Arabidopsis thaliana: one gene and its partners. The protein of the gene in region 2 interacts with the protein of the main gene of each other region in a biochemical or structural test. Each region holds a gene or a part of one and is shown on either strand. Other genes may lie near its edges. The genes, in order: TT8, PAP1 and ATMYC1.

What was found.
Region 1: the proteins of PAP1 (region 2) and TT8 form a complex in vitro, tested with the Arabidopsis thaliana proteins (one study listed by BioGRID).
Region 3: the proteins of PAP1 (region 2) and ATMYC1 form a complex in vitro, tested with the Arabidopsis thaliana proteins (one study listed by BioGRID).

The regions. Positions count from the first base shown.
Region 1 is NC_003075.7:6,179,259-6,184,988, reverse strand, and holds the start of TT8 (basic helix-loop-helix (bHLH) DNA-binding superfamily protein), read right to left. Parts: upstream 3,109-5,730; 5' UTR 2,923-3,108; coding exon 2,786-2,922; intron 2,567-2,785; coding exon 2,315-2,566; intron 1,934-2,314; coding exon 1,837-1,933; intron 1,649-1,836; coding exon 1,634-1,648; intron 1,552-1,633; coding exon 1,495-1,551; intron 1-1,494. UniProt on the Arabidopsis thaliana protein: Transcription activator, when associated with MYB75/PAP1 or MYB90/PAP2. Involved in the control of flavonoid pigmentation. Plays a key role in regulating leucoanthocyanidin reductase (BANYULS) and dihydroflavonol-4-reductase (DFR).
Region 2 is NC_003070.9:21,232,420-21,238,149, reverse strand, and holds PAP1 (production of anthocyanin pigment 1), read left to right. Parts: upstream 1-2,857; 5' UTR 2,858-3,060; coding exon 3,061-3,181; intron 3,182-3,721; coding exon 3,722-3,851; intron 3,852-3,940; coding exon 3,941-4,436; 3' UTR 4,437-4,595; downstream 4,596-5,730.
Region 3 is NC_003075.7:216,846-222,575, forward strand, and holds the start of ATMYC1 (basic helix-loop-helix (bHLH) DNA-binding superfamily protein), read right to left. Parts: upstream 2,937-5,730; 5' UTR 2,840-2,936; coding exon 2,691-2,839; intron 2,565-2,690; coding exon 2,277-2,564; intron 1,937-2,276; coding exon 1,840-1,936; intron 1,715-1,839; coding exon 1,700-1,714; intron 1,556-1,699; coding exon 1,499-1,555; intron 1,398-1,498; coding exon 909-1,397; intron 831-908; coding exon 420-830; coding exon of another isoform or gene 411-419; exon of another isoform or gene 389-410; intron 336-388; coding exon 275-335; coding exon of another isoform or gene 261-274; exon of another isoform or gene 197-260; coding exon 21-196; 3' UTR 1-20. Other genes in the region: BAM2 (beta-amylase 2), read left to right, coding at 5,577-5,730. UniProt on the Arabidopsis thaliana protein: Trancsription activator, when associated with MYB75/PAP1 or MYB90/PAP2.

The DNA of each region.
Region 1 (5,730 bases), on a different chromosome or scaffold from region 2:
TAATCAAATTGATAGAAATTTGTATTAGTTTGCATCATTTTAACAAATTGATACAAAAATCTGTATTTACACCAATTAAATAACCGATGTATTCACTTAATTTTATTAACATCAGTTTATAAAAATGATATAAAATTATACATCAATAAGAAGTGATGCTAATAAGTTTTTCTGTATTTTAATTTAAACAAAAAACTAACTTGAATTTATTGTAGATGACGAGAAATTGTTATTACCATAAATAAATAATCATATTGGGTTAATAATTTATTATTAATTCCTATATTTTCCCTCAAAATCAGCTAACTAAATATATTTGTTTCCTTCACTATAAATCCTGCTTTTACGCTCACGATCTTTTTTTACAGTTTTGTATCCAAAAACGTTTTTAGAATATCTTCAAATTAGTTTTTGAAATCTCATAACTCTCATTCAATTCTTCATCTTCAACGACAAGTACTTTCTTATTTTTCTATCATTCTATCTTTCTCTTTTTCTTAACCATTGCTCAGTTTTTTTCTTTTCTTTTATTTTCAGAAATCTGCCATTGATCATTAGGACTGTTTGTTTTCCTACACAGTTTGGAGAAACACAAAGTAAAGGTACTCTATCACTTTCTTTTAAAAATACTTACAAATGGTTATTCTTATTCCGACCAAAACAATTCTGTAAATTTTCAAACAATTACTCTCTTTTTTATTTTGTACAGCAGAAACTCAAGTGTGATGAGGATTCAAGAGATATAAGTTATAACCAAAGTATGATTTTGATTCTGTAAATGGAAGAGAGATGGCATAGAAGAAGAAATGGTATTTTTCAAGAAGAACCAACAGTTAATGGAAGGAAGAAGCATGGAACAGAAGAAAGATGTGTTTAAACACGAAGAAACCAAAACCAAATTATGATTATTTTTTTGCTTATCTTATATAAAGATTTATTGTTCATGTAAAATATTTTATTAAATCTTGATAAAATTTTAGTAGATATTCCAACGAGTAATTATCCACAATGATCTGTTATTTAAAAAAAAAAAAGAAATAAATAAAATAATTATTTGAAATATTAATAACATTGTATTAATAATTATATATATATTAATTAAATCAGTTATTTAAACCGAAACAAATACTAACATCACTTAAATAAATTGATGTAAACATTACATCATTTTTAGTAACTGATACAATATTGATATCAATTATAATAATCGATGTAATTATTTTGATTATTTACATCAGTTACTAATTAACTGATGCAAATTATTTGCATCAACAATATTTAAGTCACTTATTTAAGTGATACAAAATTCTTTTACATCACTTTTAACTAATGCAAATATTTATAATAAATGATGTAAAACAACCTTTTTTTTGTAGTGCATCTCCTTAATTTAACATTACTAAACCTAAAGAAAGATAGGCTATATTCACTTTGTTATTTTGTTTATATATTTCATTAACAAGTAAATAAAAGAGAGAGTATATACAACGTTACCTTTTTCGTTGTGCCTAGTTCCACAACACCATCAAGCATTGGAATGCAAACCACTGTCTGCTTTTTTAAAATACATTTTCATCAGAATACAATTCTCAAATCTTACTAAAAAGAGCAAACTAATAAAGACAAATTTTACCTGAATTTTAGCACTCTAAGTCATTGAGGAACCGACGTAAAAGGCCCATAAAACGACAAGAAGAATTATTCAAGTTAATCAGTGAAAATGTATAAAAGTATAGATAAATAGGTTTACAAGTAGATAGATACATAGTATAGTGTATACATAAATAGGTAAAAATAGATGCATAGTATAGTTGGTGAATGAATAAAAGAATTTACCTTAGCGAGAATAGCTCTAGAAAAAGTTTTACTGTCAACTTCATTTGCACCACTTAGCCATACGTGCTTCCTCCTTGCATACGCTTTTCCTGGCATCCTACAAATTACTACCTCCCAAATTTATATTTGATTTTTTTTTACCACATAGAGAAAAGCATGAAGTATACCCATAACTAACCCATTTTGTTATGCATTTATGTTATATCTATTCATGCTTCTACTTTAGATAATCAATCACCAAACAATGAGAATCTCAACGGTCGCAATAATGTTCATGAAAATGTAGTGTGTGTACGTTTCATTAACTCTCATTTCTTTCTTATTCTAGTAACTCAACTTCCTCAGTTTCTCTTTAATGTCAACACAATATTTTCGATATTCGCATTTAACACACAATACTATTTTTGTCTTCACTTAGAGAAGGAAAAAAAAGAAAGAACAAATTTAGAAACTTGAGTATAGGGAGAGAGTTGTTTACCCAGATGGAGGAGGAAAAGAGAAAGAGACGCACATTAGATAAAACCATTCTGTCTCCGTCAAATCCTCCGGTGACAATGCGGTGCATGCTCTTGCTTCTGACGTTGACTCTCCGGCTAAAAGTGTCTCATAAAGCTCCCTGAGCTGTTGGCTCCTCTCTAACGCCGCCTCTTCTGCCGTCACCTCCGCTGGTTGAGTTGTCTTCCTCGTCTTTATTGCACCGTTGTAGTATCCATTCCCCCACACCAAGACCCTAAACAATGATACTTTCATATAAGTAGTTCAAAAATCTTAATAAATTTTGTAAAACCTTCAAAAAAAAAAAAAATTATTTCAAGATCGAATTGTAACACTACGACAAGCCAACAATTAGCCGAATTCATTTAAACATATAGTTTACATAATATATACGGATATAGATATTATGGTTGTATTGTGAGAGATGAATGAACTATAGAGATAAGAAACTAACCGTTGTTGAGGACAAAATTGCCAGAAGACACTATAAGTCCAGTCCACAGATTGAACCGCCGTCTTAAGCAGCCCTTGAAGCTCTTTTTTCTCAGCTCCGGCCACTTTCTCTGCCGGAATAATACTTGATTCATCCATCGTTCCCGGAGATACGAAAACGTGGTAGCTCTCTCTCTAAAAATCTTATAACTTTGAAGGGTTGTTATTAATATGTGAGAAGAATTTACTCTCATACGCTCATGATGACTTAAAATGGTATGGGACCACTGATTTTTGCAATATGCATGTATACGTATATCATCTTAGTGCTTTTGCAACATGTTGACATAAGTAAAGTATAATGCATGTAATGACTTCTATGTATATATGTATGTATATGAATGCATGACCAAAACTCAAGTGCATTAAAAGTTGACTTTTGATTTTTGAATGGTTGGTTCACCAGACGTTGGATGAGAAAGTGAAATAATGAAAGATCTATGTATCTTGTAGACGTGTCATATACTAATTGGACAAATCAAAATACAGAATGAATATATCTAATAATGCTATATTTATTTATTGTTCAGAAAGCATAACATATTATTGTAGATAAAATAGCTAACTGACAAACAAATGAAAACAAATGTTGCTTTGACTTGTGTTACTGCTACAAGGAGCAAAGAAATTGCGTTTTTCACATTTCTATTATTTATAAAATTGATATTAAAATTATATATTGATTAAAATGTTCATTAACAATTTTAAGAAGTTGGAATTATTGGATGAACATTCATATATATTTTCTTTAAAATGAAAAGATAAACTTAACCAAAGATGGGGAATGGTAGAATTGTTGACCTGACCGGTAAGTAAAGAATGAGAAATGGTTTGGTGTAATAAAGGAGAAGAATGAGATGTTTCACATTTGAGTTATTAAATTATTGATGTTAATTGCTAGCCAAGTAGCAGCCACTAGCCACTATAAGTTTCCCATTTAATAATGTCTTATAAAATATAAATGTAGATAGATACTGTTACGTACACATATCGTAGTACATACGATTTTGGGTATGGTTAAGGGTAATGTATGTACACCTGGTTACTTAGACAAAATCAACATTGAATGTTTCTTGGCTTTTTTGTCGACAAAATAAATGTTGCTTGGCTTTTGCTTCTGCTTCTGTGTTTCTTATTACATGTTGTTTCTTCTGAGTTTAGTCGTTCACCAATTATGTAACTCTGACGACGGGCCACGTGGAGTGGTTTCTTCTTATTGATTTTGCTTCTCCTTGTGTGCATCTTTGTGTTTATAAATAAAGGTGTTATGTAACTCATTTCTCATTGGAAATGATTCAAATAACAGAAAATAAACAATACTGTTCTAACACAGAAATGAGCGATTGGTTATTCACAATCACAAGGACAATGCTTTAGTACATAAACGAGAGGTTGGTTAGGCACAAATGTTAACTAAAACCCAAGTTCTTCCATTCCAGAAATGACAAATCATTCCTATTTATAATGCTTTGTTTTCAATGAAAATGACATTAGCCAAAAGTGTTTTGGCAAGAATTAGTTGTTGGAATACAATATATCTTTACAACGCACAACTGCATGAGCTTTGAAGGACCCCGGCCGGTTTATGATGAGAGTGAACTATTTGAAAAGTGGACCACATAATTGTAGAAAAATAATGGGTAATATAGTGTGATGCAAATTGGTGTGAAGTTTTTTGAGTTATTTTTTCTTTCTTTTTCTGAAATGTAATCATTCGTGTGAATGAGAGATTTCTTGTATTTTGTTCAATATATTAAGACCCGGTCCAAACCGGTCAGTTGGACCGTAATCCCATGATCCCGTTGGGGATCCATGGCTAAAATCGCCATGTATTGAACCCTGAAAAGTTCATCATTAACTTGTGATCTGACCGAATAACGATTTAAAAATCACTTACATCAATCTAGAGGATTTGATTTTATAACCTTTTACCACAGTTAGAGGAATTAGTTTGACATTTTCGGATAACAAATAGTATGGTTTTCTTTTTCCTAACCCTTTTTTGCTACCCAAAACCTAAGCTTTATAATCTTTCATAACATGCGTAAGATAGTAAAAATATCAAGCGGTAATGACTAATGAAAAGACAAAAGTCTAGTGTCTAGTGGTATATTTTAAATTCTATCAATAAAATTTTGTAATTTTTCTTTTAGTCGTGTGTATTGTAACATTGACTAAACTATGTGATTTATGATTCTTCAGATCTTGAGGAAGAAATTACATTATCTACAAAAAAAGGGTGTAAGTGATGGAGATAGACAAAATTTATTGCTGTGATGCTTTATTAGCTCATCTAATATGAAATTGACGATTTACTATTCTTTTAGTGTTTGGTTTTTGGTTTAATTAGTTTCTTTGAATGTAGCAAGTTAAGACTTATCTCACCAAATATATATATATATATATATATATATATATATATATATATTTTTTTTTTTTGTTAAATCTCACCAAATATTTATAAACTCAAATCTCTTGTGGAGGAAAATCTTTCATTCTGCTTGGCAATGATGCAAAATATCTGGCACCATGAGTCCATGATCCTAAGGTGGATATAATGGTATGATTTGTCCTTTGGAAATGAAGTGTTACTAGATCATAACCCGTGCTATACAGCACGAGCATTAATATTTTGTATAAATTAAATTGTATACTTTGTTTCAATTACATAAGAAATAGTATAGTATAAAAGCGATGTCATAATATTTTTCAATGTTTTTACTATTAGCATATAATGCTGCATTGGATTGACTTTGTTTAAAAATGTTATTTTTATAATAAATATAACATATATAGTTTTAAGTAAATGTGTAAAATTTGTATACAAGTTGTTTTGGTAAGAAACATGTTTCCTTTGTATTAGTGGATCTAATTTTTGGCCTAACTTAGAATTAGTCTTTGTATAGT
Region 2 (5,730 bases):
AAACAGATTAATTCACCATATAGAAGATGAGACCAAAAAAAAAAAAAAAAGTCTACAAAGTCAAGGGCACTAAATCATAAAAAACCCAAAATCTCAGATCTATCAAGAAAACGACTATTCCAAAAATGGAAATTATAAGAACAAAATTCTTTGGACAGAGATCAAACAAGAAAGGAACGAGAAAAATGAACTTTAGGTACCTTAGATTATCCAAATTTGTAGCTGCAAAAGTTGTTCCTGTGTTCAAGAAAGAAAGACCTGTAAAATGATCTGGATGTGTTTGGTTATATATATAAGAAGACTTAAAAGATAATGACTTAATCTCGTAACGAGTCACACGGACGTGACGCTGAAACTCACACACGTTGGTGCCACGTCTTTGTCTTTCCTCTTTTGCTCTACTTTTTTCTCCTCATAGGTGATAGGTCCCATAAGCAATGAAATAAAAAAAATGGTAATTGACTTTTCTCCAAACATTTTCGAATCTGATTTTCTTTTTCAAGGTTTTATAACCTCTACATTCCAGAATATGACTAATGACATCATTATCCAATTATTTTTTATACTGTAAACTCATTATTATGAATATTCTTTATTTCAAAAAATTACCATTGATTTATAAGTTTATTAGTATAATATATAACATATGGAATAAAACTTTTATTTAAAAAAAAATATTTTTCCCCAAAAAAAGTAGGATTAATAACCTGATTAATAAATAAAAAGTGTTATATTTTTAAGCATTGTATGCATTTACTTTATCATAGTTGTCTTGTTTTTAAGAGTTAAAAAATAATGATGAACAATTTCACGGACAACGATTCCACGATAAAGCTTTCCCTGCAACACTCAGATTTTCTAAAGACGGTTTTGCATTGCGTTTTCTGGGATTCGAAACCCAAACATGATGTACAAGTATTAATGAACTCTTAGTTAACCATTAGATTAAAAATATTTTCACTATTAATTTTCTCTTAAAAATATTAATAATTTTTTGAAATCAAAAATTATAGTTATTTTATTTTAATAAACGAGAAACACTACAAAAAAAGTTAACTGCATTTAGATAATTTAATAAACTAAAATATCCACATAAAAATTTCAAATTTATCAAAAATAAAACATCAATTTGTTTTTTGTTTTAAATTAAAGATTTGCTATTGATTGCATAAGGAAGAAAACTTTACAAAGCCGAAAGGCCTAAGAGCCCAACACACACAAAAGAAGAACCATTTTGGATCAAGGGAACCGACCATGGGTATTAGAAGTAGTGGTATAAAGCCCATCATATCCCAACACATAACCCACGAATGTTTAATATTAAAAGTTTGTTGTTCGGCTCATGATTAGCGATGATCATACAGAAAGTTTGTATCTAATACGTGCCTTGAATTTTATGTGTACAACAAACAAATTAAATTATTCAAAACCATAAATTATAAAAAATAATTACAGAAATAAAACTATATTAAGAGCGAGCCTACCATCCGGTGTGCAACTTTCTAGTTTATATACAGTGGCGGATCAACGTTAATGAGGCAAATTGGTTCAAATTCATCTAAATAAGACTAGAGTTCACAGGTTCGATTCCTCCTTATAACAATTTGCTCCCACCAATTTTTTTTGCTGGGTCCGCCCCTGGTTATATATATACTTCTACACCAGGTTTGGGTTCGAGTCCACACATAATTAACGACACAATTATAGTGCACGATAGAATGAACTAAAACAGCTAGAGCGTAGAGGGCTCATTGTCTATAAAAATCCTTCGTTAACTTGCAAGAAACCAAGAGTAGAGGGCTCACACTTAAGTCTCCTACATGACGATTATATTTCGTCAAAAAGAAGCAATTAGTTAGCTTTACAGCATATCATTTCGCCTAGGTTTTCCATCGTACACGTAAATTTTCATGCAAGAAAGCAGAAATATACAAATACTAACTTTTAGATACTGAAAAATGAGATCAGATTCTAGTCAAATTTTGTTAAAAGTATTTATAAATTTAAATTGCAAGTCCTCAAAAAGTACGACTAAAAATGCTTTTCTTAGAAAATGATAATAAACCGGCGTTTTATATATAAGTGTTTCTTTTTCTCTTCTGTCCAGAAGTAAATCATTAAGAACCAATATGGCTTTTCTTAAACTAATCTCCGTGATAATCAAATCTTTGATCATTCTCCACACAATCCCATCAACAACATCGATCTCACTAGATGCACCAACAATGATTCTAATCGGCACTACTAACTATAGAGATAGTTGTCCCAAAAAAAAAAAAAAAAACTAACTAGAGAGATAAATCATATTCAATACATGTACTATTTCTACTATACTTAAGAAAATTTGTATACCACTATCTTAACTCTTAACACTGAACATACTATACACTATCTTAACTCCCAACTCTTGTAAAAGAATATCTAATTTTAAGAAAAGACTTCAAATGCTTGTTAAATTTCTAGTGAAGATGCACATTCTAAAAACTGGTAAAATGGTAAGAAAAAAATATATAAAAAAATAGCCTTATTAAAATTTATATCTCCTATTTCTCTATCCAAACTACACGGATGAAGCTTATTGTTATTCATCCACCCTTTTTCTCAATTCTGTCCTATTTCTTGTGCATGAAACTTCTCCATCTTGTAATCGGATAAATCATACCCAAATTTTTTCTTTCTGAAAACATATATACCCGAACATTAATTACTATCGTCCTTTCTCCTAATTTTGTTAAGAAACATGTTTGTTTGTTTTTAGTACTGAAAAAGGATGGAGATACTTGCTAGATCCTATGAACCTTTTCTCTCTAGGACAAATCAGTAACCAAACAATAACTTAGCAAATTAAGCACGACAGCTAATACATAAAATGTGGATATCAAACATGCACGTCACTTCCTTTTTTCCGTCACGTGTTTTTATAAATTTTCTCACATACTCACACTCTCTATAAGACCTCCAATCATTTGTGAAACCATACTATATATACCCTCTTCCTTGACCAATTTACTTATACCTTTTACAATTTGTTTATATATTTTACGTATCTATCTTTGTTCCATGGAGGGTTCGTCCAAAGGGCTGCGAAAAGGTGCTTGGACTACTGAAGAAGATAGTCTCTTGAGACAGTGCATTAATAAGTATGGAGAAGGCAAATGGCACCAAGTTCCTGTAAGAGCTGGTATGTTATTTACGAACACACACACACTAACCGACACACACACACACAAATATGAATATCTATAATCACTACCAATAGTCTTCGTTCTCTCTATTTTCTATTCAGAAAATTGATTAATACCCGGTATTAAAAAAAAAAAAAAAAATTTGTTTAAATGAGTACAAATCATTGTTACAACTTCTTTATGCTGTTTTTACATGCTATTAAAGGTTGTGCATGAAAATTTCTTTTGCTGTTCGTATTTGTTTTACACCTAAACGAAGATTTTTACTTAAAATTAAAGAAAAAAAATTATACTAATTTTAGTTACGTTGCGTATTGCTAGCTTCTCCTATAAAGTCGTTCAAATTTTTACACGCTTGTCTTCTTGTAAATGAATTCGTGGGAAAATTTTGTATGAACACGTGTTTCTGTGTTGGAACAGTTCTTTATTTTTATTGGTGTGCATAGATTCTTCCTGATAAAATATATAGAAGGAGACAAATAAAAAACAGTCTTAGTATGTAGGTATAATCAAAGAATCAATTATTGGTTTTGTAGGGCTAAACCGGTGCAGGAAAAGTTGTAGATTAAGATGGTTGAACTATTTGAAGCCAAGTATCAAGAGAGGAAAACTTAGCTCTGATGAAGTCGATCTTCTTCTTCGCCTTCATAGGCTTCTAGGGAATAGGTATTAATTGTTACCTCGATACTACTTAACTCGGAGAGTCGTCATAAGTTAATACTAATAACATATGTATATTTTCTTACAATTGTTAGGTGGTCTTTAATTGCTGGAAGATTACCTGGTCGGACCGCAAATGACGTCAAGAATTACTGGAACACTCATCTGAGTAAGAAACATGAACCGTGTTGTAAGATAAAGATGAAAAAGAGAGACATTACGCCCATTCCTACAACACCGGCACTAAAAAACAATGTTTATAAGCCTCGACCTCGATCCTTCACAGTTAACAACGACTGCAACCATCTCAATGCCCCACCAAAAGTTGACGTTAATCCTCCATGCCTTGGACTTAACATCAATAATGTTTGTGACAATAGTATCATATACAACAAAGATAAGAAGAAAGACCAACTAGTGAATAATTTGATTGATGGAGATAATATGTGGTTAGAGAAATTCCTAGAGGAAAGCCAAGAGGTAGATATTTTGGTTCCTGAAGCGACGACAACAGAAAAGGGGGACACCTTGGCTTTTGACGTTGATCAACTTTGGAGTCTTTTCGATGGAGAGACTGTGAAATTTGATTAGTGTTTCGAACATTTGTTTGCGTTTGTGTATAGGTTTGCTTTCACCTTTTAATTTGTGTGTTTTGATAAATAAGCTAATAGTTTTTAGCATTTTAATGAAATATTTCAAGTTTCCGTGTTTACATTTTGAAGAAAATAAAATATTAATATATTCTGAAGATTTTTGTTTTTTTTTGGTTATCTACATGACAACAGTAAAAATAGAAAAAAAATCTTATTTTTTGAAAAAGGTATGTATCCGGTGTTTAGAATACTTTCCGAAATCAAACCGCCTATATTTCTAATCACTATGTAAAATTGTAAACCAATTGGGTTAAAACTCAACTAACAAACTTTCTAAATAAATGTCATTTTTGTTTTCAAATATGATTGAACTCGGATTTAGGAGTTTTACCCTTCAGTACCAAACCTTCTCTACCGACCATGTATGGTTGGGCAAATGTCATGTTTTACAATGTTTAGATTACTAAACACTTTGGTTGAGAAGGCAATGCTTTATTTATATATTCTGAAGTCATGTTTTAGTGTTATTTTTATTTATTTTTAAATGCATAGATTGTTAACGTGCAGATTCTCATATGGGCTTAGTTTCTGGATTTTGATTATCAAAACCGTATTCCACTCTTAAATGATTACGACAAAAAAATCAATACTACTAACAAACCTATTTCCCAGTTATTAATTAGTCAATAACAATTGTCAAATTTAATAACGTACTTGCTAGTAATAAAGTTTTAACGACGATCATAGATAGGTTTTTGAAACCCATACTCGCAGAAGTTCTGATACAAAAATTTGTACTCCCTCTATTTCAAAATATTAAATGTTTTAGATAAAAGCACAATGTTTAAGAAACTAATTAATCTTGAGTTTCTTACATTATAAACATAAATTAATATCTATTAAAAATAATTTGACCAATGATATAACTTACAGCATAATATAAATAGTTAAAAAAAAACTGTTTACTTTAATAATTTGCATAACAACTAGCTAGTCTGGTCCAAGAACGGTAGTAGGATGAGATTTTAGAAGGTCGTAATGTGTAAGACTAATAATCATGCGATAGACGATCATGCATGAATTATTTTATGTAATACTTATATGGTTCCAAAATCTATAAGAACCCTCAATTATAAAAGTAATATCTATTAAATATTTAAACGATAATTTCATACGGAAAATTAATAGATAAATTCTTCTATTTGTTTTTAAATATATGTAAATGCGAAAGTGTCCCATGCAATTTTATATATTTAATCAAGTGAAAACTCGAAAACAAAAAACTTGATGTA
Region 3 (5,730 bases), on a different chromosome or scaffold from region 2:
ATAATAGCTCAAAACAATCATTAATGAAAGATACAAATCGCCCATGAATTATGAATAAGTATAGATCTTGGTTTTGTAGAAGAGGAAGAGACAACGTTGTCGAAAATTCCAACCAAACTTTGGCAAACTTTACATACAAAAACCCTGAAAACTTGATGTAAAGATAATGGCACATCGCATATCGGTTCACGAAAGTCTAGATAAATATAACATTTCATCAAAAGTTTAAGAAAATATAAGAATTTTTACTAAGAAGAACATTAAAACAAATCACCAATGACTCTTCTCAGCTCTCGCTTAATCATTCCTACGGACGCAACTGCAGCCCCGCGAAACTGCATGCATAAACCCAAAAACGTTACGTGTAAGTCAAGAAAACCCAAATCTGCCTTTTCCAAACATCAGTAAGATTAATTTACCTTGGCCTTGAGATTCAATGTGAGGAACTTATTGAGCGTGTGAGATCTAACAGAGAAAGCATCCATGTGAAGATTGCTCAGAGTTTCCATGATGTCCGCAACTATGTAGTCTCTGTAAGAACATCTTACTTCGATCACAACTTCTGTTTCTTTGAGTTTAACTCTCAAATGTGTCTTATCTCTGAAAACAGTGACTTGTTCGGTTTCTCCTGAATTGTCATCGATCTTCGTGCTATCATCGTAGTTCCCTGATGTCTCTTCGATCAACACAGAGTCGTTAAGGTTCTCTGTCGTCTTTCTTTGTCTTTCTACAAAATTAACTGATCCCATACAAGATTCTAGCTCTTCTACTCTTGCCTCCAGTTCTTGCAGGTACTTGATTGTGTTGTTTAGTATCGATTCTTTATCAACCTGCACAAAGATTCAAAACAGAGTGTTGGCTTCTGAAACACAGTCTTGTCTCTAAGGATTTAGAAAAAGAGTTATTACCTCGTTGACAGTGGGAACCATAGTTCTAAGGACACTGAACTTTTCGTTCTCTTTTCTTCTATCTGAAGGATCATCTTGATTCAGACCAGAGTTCTGACTTGGGAACATTCTCTTTGTGTGCATCAAAGGGACATCATGCAATATCTTCCGCAACACATTCTGTGACTTTTTTTTCTGAACAAAACCCGAGACTTGCTGCTCACATTGCTTCCACCGCAAGAAACTTGAGCCAGGTTCAGAAGTAACAATATTTGGCTGACGATGACGAATGTTCTTATCGTTCTTACCTGATCTATCTGCGGAGTAGTTGAGTACTGTTGAAATGGTTCTTTTGTAATGCAAGTCTTCATCAGAAATACCTAATGGAAGCTGATGCTTCTCTTCACTGATCTTAATCTCCATCTTCTTCTCGTCATCGTTGTCTTGGTGTGCAGATATTTCCATCAAGCAAGATTTGATGTTTCGAAGCAGGTTATGGTCTTCTGAAATCTTTCATTGATCATGAACAAAATTAAACAAAGTAAGGTATATTTAATTCTTGTGAAGCAAGCAACAAAAGTAAAACTTTATATATTAAGATGGAGAGTTACCAATTCAGTGACGCCCAGCTCAATGACTCCGCCCAAGTAAGGGAAACACACAACAGTCTGGAGATAACAACACAGATACATTCTATAAATCTTCTATCCAAATTGATATATAGATAACTAAACTTTCATTTCTAACAATAAGAGAACTAAACTTTTATTTCTAACAATCAGAATCCAGTTATAACAAACATTATAACGTACCTGAATTGATGCGCTCTAAAGGAGAGAAGCCATATGAACAGTAATGAAAAGCAAAGAAGATCAAAGGAGATTTTTAGTCAGATTCGATCTTGATATATCAAGATTCAAGAAGAGGAAATTAGAAGTTTCTGAGAACTTACTCTTGCTAACAAAGAACGAGAGAAGAGCTTGTTCTCCGCATATTGAGCGTTGCAGAGCCATATGGTCTCACCCGTCGCTGAAGCTCTTCCAGGCAAACTAAAGTATATACATAAACAACCAAAAAAGCCAAAATGACAATAATTAATGATCATAAAAGAGAAAAAAAAAACTTAATCTAGGATTACTTAAAATGCAAAAGGTGAAAGTGTAACAAAAAGGAACCCCAAAGGAATAATCACTCCACTATTTACCAAATGGTTTTGGTGGTACTAAACTCTTTACCCAAAGTGATGGATGTTTCATCTTAAAATGAAAGGACATTTCTCATTACTTCTTTATTGCAAATTGGTTTTTCTATATGAATAGTTCACAAGAGCTAATATATTTTAGTGTACAAATTCATAGGAGAAGAGAGAGAGAGAGTGAGAGAACAAACCATTGTGAAGGAGAGAAGACATAGGACATGGAGACTAAATAGTACCACTCTTCATCAGAGAGGTCATCTGGTGACAGCATCATACTTGTACTGTGACAATTATCATCATCATCATTGAGATTATCATGAGTAGTACTAACAGTAGTACCACTGTCTCCTTCAAGCATAGACAAATAAAGTTTCCGAAGCTCCTTGCTTTTTTGCAACCCATATTTATAATGAGATTCATAACTCTTCTTCCTCTTCTTCATATCTCCATTGTAACATCCTTCTCCCCACTCCAAAACCCTAAATTAGTAGAACATAGTACTCATAAGTAACCCAAGATTTAAAAGAAGAGAAAATGGAAATGCAAAGATGAGAACAACAAGATCTGATAATTTTGGTACATGATGAATATTAGATTATACTTACCCAGGTTGAGTAAGTGAAGACGACCAGAAGATTGCGTAGCTCCATTGAACACTTCTTACAGCTAAAGCAAGTTGTTTTCTTAATAAGCTGTTTTGTCTTTTACTTCTTCCTGCTGCAGCTTCTACACCATCAGCCATTGTCAAAGACATATCTAGATATCGTGAAGAACTGAATTTAAAAGTATGGAACCAAAGTGATTGATAAAGAGGAGACAACCAAAAGGCAAAATTTATTAAAGAAGGGTTTGGTATTGAAGCTTTATTTCCTTTTCTTTCTTTCTTTATTGCTTTCTCTTTCTCAGCTTGGTCCTGATGGAAAGTCTTAAAAGAGTGTCTTTAAAGTTGAGTACTGTGTCTGAATTATGAGAGAGAGTGGTTGACTTGGGTCATGATCTTGGTTTTTGGAGTGACTTATCTTTATACAATACATATGGTAATAGTGTTGGATTCTATTTGGTGAAAACCAAGGTAAAATATTCTCTAAATTAGTGATGATGCTGAAAAATATTGCAAAAAGAAAGATTCAATATAGTTTTTTTGTTTCCTCCTATTCATTTAGTCAAAAGCTTGGTTATTACTACTATACTAGGTGATTGGCCAACATCATGCATGGATATGAATCATAAATTTAAGACCGATCTTTTTAACTCTTTTGGATTTGTGTTGTCTTAAATCCACTATGATGTTAGAGTTTATCGTGACACTTTTTAAAGAATACAACTTGAGATAGTTTGACCATAATGATTAATGTTTTGATGATTTCATATTATAGGTTTGGTTTGGATAGTTAATATCCAACAAGAGACAATATAAATACATGTTGATATTACATTGTACTTATAACTAATTTAGATGAATACACTTATGAAATCAACAAAGTAGAGATTCTTAGATTCTTAGTTAAACTTGTGTTGGTTTATATAAACTTAGTTACTTTTTTTTTCGTGTTAAGACATGTCGGGGTCTTATTGTCTTACAATCATTATATATTTGTATCTATCTTGTTGTGTGGAAATGGAACGTATCGACCTACATTGTTTTTTTGTGTTTTGGTAAACGTATCAAGTATCAACATACTTTAACAACCAAAAAAATTGAACTCTTTGTCTGGCTCACATCAATGAAGATGATTAATTTTTTGTTACTCGATCTTAAATATATGACAAACAGAATGTAGTTATACGTAGTTGCAAGAAAATGGAATATACTATTTGGATAGTGAAGATTCTAGTTTCTATGATAGATATAAATGCGCATTTCACCCGAATAATTCCATGATACTCTAATAGATTATATATTAAACAAATACACACTACTGTTCAAGTTTGATAATCAATCGCGAGACATCGCATATACCGATCGTTATTTGTTTACCATCAAAGCACTATTTTGTCCGAAGTAAGTAAATATAGCAAGTGGCAGTAAAAAAATAGTAATAAAATTGAAGGCAAGATCAGGAGAGAGCTGGCTGAAATGAAGGCAAGAAACTCGTGAAAATAATAATTGATCCATCTCTATCCACGAAGCCCTACATAATTTAGTAACGCACCACTTGTGGTTGCATGCACATTTATTTCCATAACGACAAAACTTTGTGTTTAATTTTATAAATTATTTCTGTTGGCACAACACACTCATTATAGCCATATGTTTGTGTTTATATTTTCTATTTTCATAGAAACAATTAATTTAATTTTAGATGCCCTAGACATTTTTTAAATGTATATAATAATAAAATTATAGTATAAAAGTCTATATATTACCCTAAATTTTACAAAACATATACAATCCTAACCAATGGGATCCTATATCAAATTGCATTCAGGATGAAAAAGAAGCGACATGAACCACGACAAAGAGAAAAGTTAGATAAATTTAAAGTTGAGTGAGAACTTGAAGTCTTTAATTCTCATTATACAAGCAACAATTTTCTTTCTTCGGAGAGAAAGAAATGAGAGATTGCACAACACTTCAAGTTCTCTCCTAAGATTGTTTTGTGGCAGATTGACATAACCATCCGTGACAATATCGCAAAGGTTGTGGAAGATTGTTGTCCCAATGGTTCACCCAAACCTAGTTACTATAGTTGGGTCTTGACTTGTATTAGTTTCAGTTTTTTTTTTTTTTTTTTTTGTTGGGGTCCATATCTAGAAGCTGTCCCAAAGTAAATAACAATGTTTCTTTTGGTAATAGTAATTCACATTTTATCCTTAAAAAATCTTCAAAAAATGAATATGAAAGTTACGACTTACGAGAGAAATGCAATTGTAAAATAATGAAATTCAAATTTAAAGCTTCAATGATTTTGTTAAGACAGAGAGACGTAGCGCATTGATTACAGACGCGACACATCTGACATACAACATTTGCCACTACAATGCACGACTGTCTTCGGATTAATACATTAATGTTACATCGTTAGTATCAATCTTACAGATTATAAATAGCTTAGCCGATTGTTTAAGATAGTATTATTCTAAATTCATATACACTCGTGCAAGTACAACAACACACTAAAGTTATTAAATAATAAACACATTTGATGTAGATAAACTACTTTTTTTAGTGACGTGACTTTACAGGCCCAATAATATATTCTGAAAAGCCCATAGTAATATTCACAAAAGCCCCTTGATAAAGTTGCAACGCGCGTACTTATCTGACGTGTCAGGTCACGCCACGTGGATTAGAAAAAAAGTGGTAAAAGACAAAACCCTTTTGTACTCAACGGATCTGAGTGAATCCTGAAAACTTTTTTAGGATTTCAAAATTGATTTGAACCAACCAATGATTCTTGGATCCCATGAATAAGCCTTCACGTGGCTTTTGATTTCACATTCCACGAAAATCCAATTTTAACTGAATTTGAGATAATTTTGGTTTAGTGATGGCGATTAGGTTGAATCATAGTGTAATTCCAGTGAGCGTGAAGCTTGGAGCTCCGACGAGAGTATCGGCTCGGAGCTCGTTACCGTTCAGCGTTGGAGATTGGCGTGGTGTTTCTACATTTTCCGGTGCTAGGCCTTTGGTTCTCGCGAAGG